Linked DNA regions of Nothobranchius furzeri. Each later gene encodes a partner of the first gene's protein in a complex. Links are inferred from orthologs where the notes say so. Each region holds a gene or a part of one and is shown in the gene's direction. Other genes may lie near its edges. The genes, in order: bop1 and pes.

Region 1 (4,319 bases):
TTTATAACCAAAATAATGCAAAACTTTATGTAAAATGATTTACTAATATAAATAAATGCAACATATCAAATATTCATCATTTCCATGGATTTAATAACTGAACACTTTAAGAAATCTCCACTTTCCGACTGCTGGCGCTCATTTTCTCACCGTCTCCATCGCACTCTCCTCTCTTGCTCTCCTTTTTCCTACTCCTCATTTCCTCTCGTCTCCCGCCACCCGCATGTGCTCTGCTGTGTGTCTGAGTCATCGACATGATCTGAGTCTGATCCTCCCTCTTCCCCGCCCCTACTGCTCTGTGTGTGTACAGTCTGGACACGCAGTTACACATGTTGACCAATCACCTGTAGCTTTCACCAAAGCAAGGGGGGAGGGGGGAGGGGACGGTTCCCAATGACGAGTCGGCTCCCGTCGTTCACTTCAAAGAGCCGGCTCTTAGAGCCGGTTTGTTTGCGACCGACACATCACTAAGATGAATGCCTTTGAAGAATGTATTCTATCTATTTGAAGTAAATGTCGAGCTCAAGGTGGCGCAACAAAACATTATTATTTACACATGATCATTCATATCTGTTTATATCCTCTGGTATTCTGTTTTTTTTTTTATCGTTCCTGGCGCGCTCCGCTCATCGTGTGCTGCGGTGATTTCACCTCACTGACGCAGCATCGAAACGCGCACTACGCTTTGCGGTCAGGAGATCCCTTTGATCTGCTTAGTTCAAAAGTAACTTGTGATGTGAAAAAGTAAGAATCCAGGCAGCAGTTTTTCTGGAGAATTTAGAGGAGATGAAGGACGATGAGAGACAGACAGGACAGGACAATAGTCACATAAAAACAAGAAAACAAAACAACGTGTTGAAAAGTCAAATGTAGGTAGATTTATCTACACTACATGTTTTTACCTGTATAAAACAATAAGTTATACACATGTAATATGTATACATCTGATACAATTCAGATCACCTTCAAAACTCAGTCACACACCCAGGGCCGTTTTAAGGCATTTCGGGGGCTAAGGCAAAACAGAACCCCACATTGAGAGAACTTTCTTCAGATGTGGGCTTAATATCCTGCCTTTAATTCAATGTTAAGAATTTAAATGGGTAGTTATCCTTTTCATTTCATATTTTTACACAGAATTTGCGTAATACACATTTTCACCCGGAGAGGGCGACACAGAGCTGCACGTTTCACCATCACGTGCAACAACATTTTACTCTGCCCCACCCCCTCTCTTTTTAAATTCAACCACATGGGGGCGCTAGCAACAAACGCGCATGTTTCCTCGCTCATAACCTGTGACCCCGAAAGTTTCCCACGTGGTTTTGTAGAGGAGAGTGACGAAAACGTGCAGCTAATCGACCTTAAAAAAGATGAAGAAAAAGGAGAAAACAGACAAAAAGCGGAGTCTTCAGGAAGAGGAGGAGGAACAACAGGTGAGGCGCACTGTCAGCGAGCACGAAGAAGAGGAGGACGAAGTGGACTGGTCAGCAGCTCCCTGTTAGCTGTTAGCAAGGCATCCTAGCAACACTTGGCAGAGCTTTGTAACCCCATGACAGTTTCTAGTTGTTATTATTTGAGGAAAAGAACTAGTCGATGCTCTGACAAACATTTGACAAATTATCCGTCAAAGAGTCATTACTAATACAGAGATGCTGTTTATTTTTATTTATTTTTTCAATTGCTACTTAATGAATGGAGAGTTGACAGCTAGTTTCAAGTAAAGATTGACCTGATGAGGGCTAAACCTTGATTTTTTATTTATTTATATATTTCCTGCTCCAGATTATTTAATTTATTTCGTATTTCTTGCTAACAGATCCAAAAACTAATACAGCAAATATATTTGAAGTTGTTTAAACTTTAGTACTGGGCAAACATCAACAGAAAATGATCCTACTGATCACATTGTAACGTGTTTTAGTGTAGAATTACCTACTCAGACAGTTCAATGTCAGACCTGAGAATCCTTTTTGTCCTAGATTTATTTAGATCACTGTAATAATTGTCAGCTCTGTGATGTTGTCCTTTTTGCTTTCTCCAACAGAATAACATATATAAATAGCAACAATTCCCGTTTTGTATATTTTATTGGTTTTTGGCTACAGACAAGAGTCTTGTGTGACATGTTTTACTCTACCTCAGCTCTTCAGCTTGAACGACAAACCGTTTAAGGAAGATGAGGATGATGATGATTTATCAGACAGCGTGGACAGCGTGTATTCAGGACTGGAGGATTCTGGGAGTGACTCTGAAGAAGAAGAGGATAAAGATGAGGAGGAGGGATCTGATGAGGATGATGATGAAAATGATTCTGCTGCCGATGATGATGATAAAAATGATGAATCAAATAAGAATGCAGAAGATCAGAGTCAGAAGGTAGGACCCACGAATCAGATGGCTTGCTGCTTGTTTTCCCTCTGATCAACATTTAGTCTCTCGTATTTTGGCCTCTGCAGAAAACAGTAAAAAAGAGCAAAAAGAAAGAAGAGACTGAAGAAAAGGACGTAAAGAAAGAAAATGAGTACGAGCATGACAGCTCAGATGAGGAGGTGGGACAAAATCATCTTTAAAACGTCTGTTTTTTGTGCAGTATTGTAAAAATAGTATTTCTCTACCGTTTAAAAGAAGTACTAACATACCAGTTGTGACTGTTCTGTAGGATATCAGGAACACTGTGGGGAACATTCCCATGGAGTGGTACAAAGACTTCCCTCACATTGGCTACGATCTGGATGGGAGGAAGATCTTTAAGCCAATCAGGAACAAGGATGAGCTTGACGAGTTCTTGGACAAAATGGAGAATCCTGAATATTGGTGACCAGGCTAACATAATGCATCATAATCCACACATTTAAACACCGCATGCTAACGTGAACATGAAAATGTCTACAGGAGAACTGTCCACGATAAGAAGACGGCGAGCGACATCGTGCTTTCAGACGAGCAGATAGAGCTGGTGAATCGTCTGCAGAAAGGACAGTTTGGCGACGTTCACTTCAACGAACATGAGGTGAAACTTGGTGTTTAAAGAGAAAGCCAGTAAATATATCAGCAGAATCAGTGAAACCAGGTTTTTTTTTTCTTCCCCAGCCTATGGTGGAATTCTTCAGTAACGAGGTCATGATTCATCCAGTCACAAACAGACCTGCAGACAAACGCAGCTTCATCCCTTCACTGATAGAGAAGGAGAAGGTAAAAGAATGTCTTCATCAGGTCCACCCACCTCCACCTGCCTGATGTTTAACTGTCTGTCACACCTGTCCACAGGTCTCTAAACTGGTGCACGCTATCAAAATGGGCTGGATCAAACCTCGGCGGGTGGAAGACGACAGTAAAGGTCGTTTCTATGACCTCTGGGCCAGCGAGGACTCTTCTATTCTAGCCAAACACAGGATGCACCTTCCTGCTCCTAAAATCCCTCTACCTGGTCACGAGGAGTCCTACAACCCCCCACCAGAGTACCTGTTCACGGACGAGGAGGTCTGTCAGCCGGCTGCTCTTCTTGTTGGTGCTTGATTGCTTCGGTCTAACCCGTCTCACTCTCCACAGAAAGCTCTATGGGAGCAGCAGGACCCATCAGACAGGAAGCTGCCATTTATTCCAAACAAGTACTCGAGTCTTCGTCAGGTTCCGGCATTTTCTCGGTTCATCCATGAGAGGTTTGAGCGCTGCCTCGACCTTTACCTGTGTCCCCGCCAGAGGAAGATGAGGGTAACGGCCCGTTAGGGGGGGGGGGGGGGGCTGATGATGTAACGCTATGACGGAACTGAATTTCTGTCTGCCTGCAGGTAAATGTGAATCCAGAAGATCTGATTCCTAAACTTCCCAAACCAAAGGACCTGCAGCCGTTTCCAACAACTCAGTCCCTGGTAGAATAAACACAGATGCATAAAAACTCTCCTAAAGGTCAGATGAAGTCAAACTTAGCCGTCTGTTGCCTCTGTACCTTTTATCTTCCTGTGCTCAGGTGTATCGAGGTCACAGCAGTCTGGTTCGCTCCATTAGTGTGTCTCCATCAGGACAGTGGCTCGCTTCAGGTGAAAACTCTCATCTCCTGTCTGTTGTCATTTAAATTTATCCCAGGAGAGAATATTTATCACAGCTGTTGATTCACAAATGAATGAAAATACAAATCTATCAAATGTTTTTGACGGCTCCCTTCCAGGACTTTTTCTTTTTATTTATGTTTATGTGACTAAATACTTAATATTTAAAAGATCACCATGGCCTCGTTAGTAAGAATTAACATCTGGGGTCTCCTGCAGATGTTCTCTCATCAGCTGTACTGAATATTTAGGTTCAGCTGATTGTTGAAG
Region 2 (3,514 bases), on another chromosome or scaffold:
TTAACAAAGCCTTTTATTTTTCCTTTTTGAAAATGTTTAAAATGGTATCTGAGTTTTTAGCCTGAGCTGGCGTTAAAAGTTGTTTTCTTTGAGCCTGTTTGGAGATGCAGTGTGTGACTGGGGATTCACTGCTTTATGGCTGGTTGCTACAAACAAGCTGTTCTCACCTGGAAAGCTTGTTTTGCCCGACTGGTTTGGAGTTGCCAGAGAAAAAGCTCCATGTTTCCTCTGGGAGGTTTTATAAAAGAGATCTCACCTGGAGTTCAGCAGCTTAAGTTTTAACTGAACTCACAGCAAAATGATCCACGGATGCACATGTGCAGAAACAACTTGAGTCCAGCTAAAGAAGATCCCATTCAGGTTTTTTACCGCTGTTTTCATGCAATAACTGTATTAGTGTTCTAGTGTTTTGGTGATTTATGGGCTTTTTTCTGCTTTAAATAGTTTATTTTGATCATAAAACATGAACCAGGCTCCGTGATCGAAACGTAAAGCAATAATTTAGCAACAAAATCTATTTTGGTTGAAAATTAATTGGCCTAATAATGTTAGTTAATGATTTGTCTTCTGTTTAATTAGAATAACACTGTTTTTCTACAATAGAGGATTAGAGGTTAATGTGTTCATGGTTGTGCCTTTTTCCTTTTGACTGATTTAAGTTTGGAGAGAAAAACATTTAAAGATTCTTTGAATCGACCTCAAAACTACTTTAATTTAAAGTTTCACTGAGCGACTTTAAACACATAAACATCTGGATTTGTCCATTTGCATCAGGACCGCATCACAAAAATGACTGAGAATGTCAGCTGACTTGTTTTAGTTTGTATAGTTTATAAGTTAATAAACTTCTTATGTTTTTGTGATGCATACACTTGTTTTCTATGTGTGTTTTAGTTCTGTTTGGATTCAGTACACTTGTTTAAGGTTTTAAATCTGAGATATTTCTGCTGATTATTATATATCATGTTTGTGTCGTCTACCTGTTTTAGCTCAGGTGAGTACAGTTGATTGTTCCCGCGGCCGATTGTGCTAATTGATCTTTTCCAGGAGGACGTGGAGAAGATGGAGGCCAGAGAGAAGGAACAGAAACAGCTGGAAGCTCAGAAGAAGCTGTTTGACGGTCTGAAGATCTTCCTGAACAGAGAAGTTCCCAGAGAGTCGCTGGCTTTTATTATCCGGTGAGGCTCGGCCACGGGACATTTAAATCTCTTTGGGAATCTGTTGATGTTCTTTTTTTATGACTTTTAATTTCCCTTTTTCAGGTGTTTTGGTGGCCAGGTGTCCTGGGACAAGTCTGTTAGCATTGGGAGCACGTTTGACGTGACAGATGAGACCATCACACACCAGATTGTTGACAGACCCAATTTTGACAAACAGTACATCAACAGGTAGATAAATCTAGCAGTTCCATCATTTTTAGCTTTTTAGGTTATTTAATAGCATCAGGAACTTTACTTTTCTTTATGAAAACACCTGGATCCTGATTACAGGAAGTCTGCTTCGGTTTCCTTTACTTTAGTGTCACTTTTCATCTCTTTCTGTTCCCTCAAAGTGACCCAGTTTGAAATAGATATTCTCATCACTACTATTTCATGATCAGAGAAAACAAAGAGAAGCTTTATTATAATTTTCCTCTTACCAAGAGTATTTTTATATATTTTTGTTTCAGGTATTATGTCCAGCCCCAGTGGGTGTACGACTGCGTCAACGCCAAAATCCTCCTGCCCGTGGAGGACTATTTCCTTGGGGTGACTCTTCCCCCTCACCTGTCTCCTTTTGTGGAGGAGAAGGAAGGGGACTATGTTCCCCCAGAGAAGCTGAGGATCATGGCCCTACAGCGAGGAGAAAAACCTGGTGAGGGTCAGACGCTGACCTATGAGTTATTAGTCTTTGTGTCAAATTATTAATCTTTCTTTTGAAGTGAATCTTAAAAAGTGCTTTTTTCATTTTGTTGCAGCTCAAGAACAAGAGGAGGAGGATGATGAGGAGGAAGAGGAAGACGAGGAGGAGGAGGAAGGTGGTGATGATGAAGTTGATGAAGAGGAAAAAGCAGAAGAAAAGAATCTCAAAAAGATGGAGGAGCAAAAATCTCAGGGCAAGGTCGGATCACGTTTGATTTTTGCATTACCCAGTCTTTTATGTCCTGAATCTGACCCGGTTTCTGCTTTTAGTCCCTGCAGGTTAAAGTCACACCTGGAAAAGTGAGGGCAGAGAATCCGGCCCGCCTGGAGCAGGAGGAAAAGGCAGAGGAGAAACGTCTCGCTATTATGATGATGAAGAAAAAAGAAAAATACCTCTACGACAAGATCATGTTCGGGAAAAAGAGAAAAGTCAGAGAGGTGGGTGTTATCGCAGTGTGAACTCTCACGTAGATAACGTTGTGATTTTAGGTTTTTGTACGTTTTTATCAATAAATCTTTATCTAAGAATGTTTAACACTTTGTTTAAGTTGCTGTTTGTATAAAAGTAGATTAGCAGTGACCTCTTAGGTCACTGACCTCAGAAGAGTGTGTGTTCATGCACCTGCGCATGTGTGAAGTGTCTATTCATTAACGCTGATCAATCTCTTCTTACAGGCCAACAAACTGGCAGCCAAGAGGAAAGCACACGATGATGCTGAGAAAACAAAGAAGAAGAAGGCTAGAAAATAACTTCTCGTGACGCTCGTTTCAAACGGACTCTGTGTTGAATGGTTACAGGCTGATGTGATAAACCCTGCGACTGCACCGGAGAACCCTGCTCGGTGCATGAACGCTGCATATTTTAACACAGAAAAGCAGGATTCTGCATATTTGTGTAATTGATGTAAAAATAGCTCCCTTCATTTTTGTTCTGCATCATTTAAAGTCTTCATTTTAATTTCTGTGCTTTAAAATCTTTTGCATTTTTAAATAAAAAGATGATGTATTAAGTTACCTACTTGTATTATTTGGTAATGAAAATTAGTGAATTTGTGGTGGCGTGTTAATTTTATCCATCTCTTTGTAGCTTTACATCTCATCAGCAGTATTTATGAATATTTTCCATCAGAGTTTACATTAGTTCACTGGGGCGAGGGCTTCTTTGCTGAAGCGGTGGGTGTTGATGACGATCCTCCAGCCTTCTGATGTGGATAAGTGATGCTGTGGCCCAAAGGCCAGCTCCGACATCCACATCACTCCTCGTCCTTGCTCACTTTGACACACTGTCCTCCCTTTAACCCCTTCGTTTACACCCAGCTCTGCATTCCACGTGTGCCCACCCAGATTGGATCTCAGCCTGGTACCAGAGGGACAAGGCACTCCCATCTTTCACAATAGTAGCAGTGTTTGTGCTACACCATGGTGTGTGTGGGATGAGCTGGAAAGATCTAGTGTGTCTTCTAGGAATCCTGACTACATTATAAAGAGAGATGAAGCTCGTGAGCTGGACTGGGTAAGGCACCGTGTGACTGCATGTTGCCACATCCTGTCATGCAGAGGCAAATAGACTCAGACAGGAATGTTTGTTTAATCCTTTGAAATTACTGTTAACA

What was found.
Region 2: bop1 (region 1) and pes share a complex: the UniProt entries of both Homo sapiens proteins name them as parts of the peBoW complex. The link is inferred for Nothobranchius furzeri from reciprocal best matches to the Homo sapiens genes BOP1 and PES1.

The regions. Positions count from the first base shown.
Region 1 is NC_091759.1:9,339,665-9,343,983, forward strand, and holds the start of bop1 (ribosome biogenesis protein bop1), read left to right. Parts: upstream 1-1,269; 5' UTR 1,270-1,373; coding exon 1,374-1,436; intron 1,437-2,145; coding exon 2,146-2,379; intron 2,380-2,459; coding exon 2,460-2,552; intron 2,553-2,662; coding exon 2,663-2,817; intron 2,818-2,895; coding exon 2,896-3,013; intron 3,014-3,093; coding exon 3,094-3,195; intron 3,196-3,270; coding exon 3,271-3,483; intron 3,484-3,552; coding exon 3,553-3,714; intron 3,715-3,791; coding exon 3,792-3,872; intron 3,873-3,970; coding exon 3,971-4,040; intron 4,041-4,319. UniProt on the Homo sapiens protein: Component of the PeBoW complex, which is required for maturation of 28S and 5.8S ribosomal RNAs and formation of the 60S ribosome.
Region 2 is NC_091757.1:45,266,465-45,269,978, reverse strand, and holds the end of pes (pescadillo), read left to right. Parts: intron 1-1,047; coding exon 1,048-1,178; intron 1,179-1,262; coding exon 1,263-1,388; intron 1,389-1,669; coding exon 1,670-1,854; intron 1,855-1,957; coding exon 1,958-2,100; intron 2,101-2,171; coding exon 2,172-2,339; intron 2,340-2,576; coding exon 2,577-2,651; 3' UTR 2,652-2,915; downstream 2,916-3,514. UniProt on the Homo sapiens protein: Component of the PeBoW complex, which is required for maturation of 28S and 5.8S ribosomal RNAs and formation of the 60S ribosome.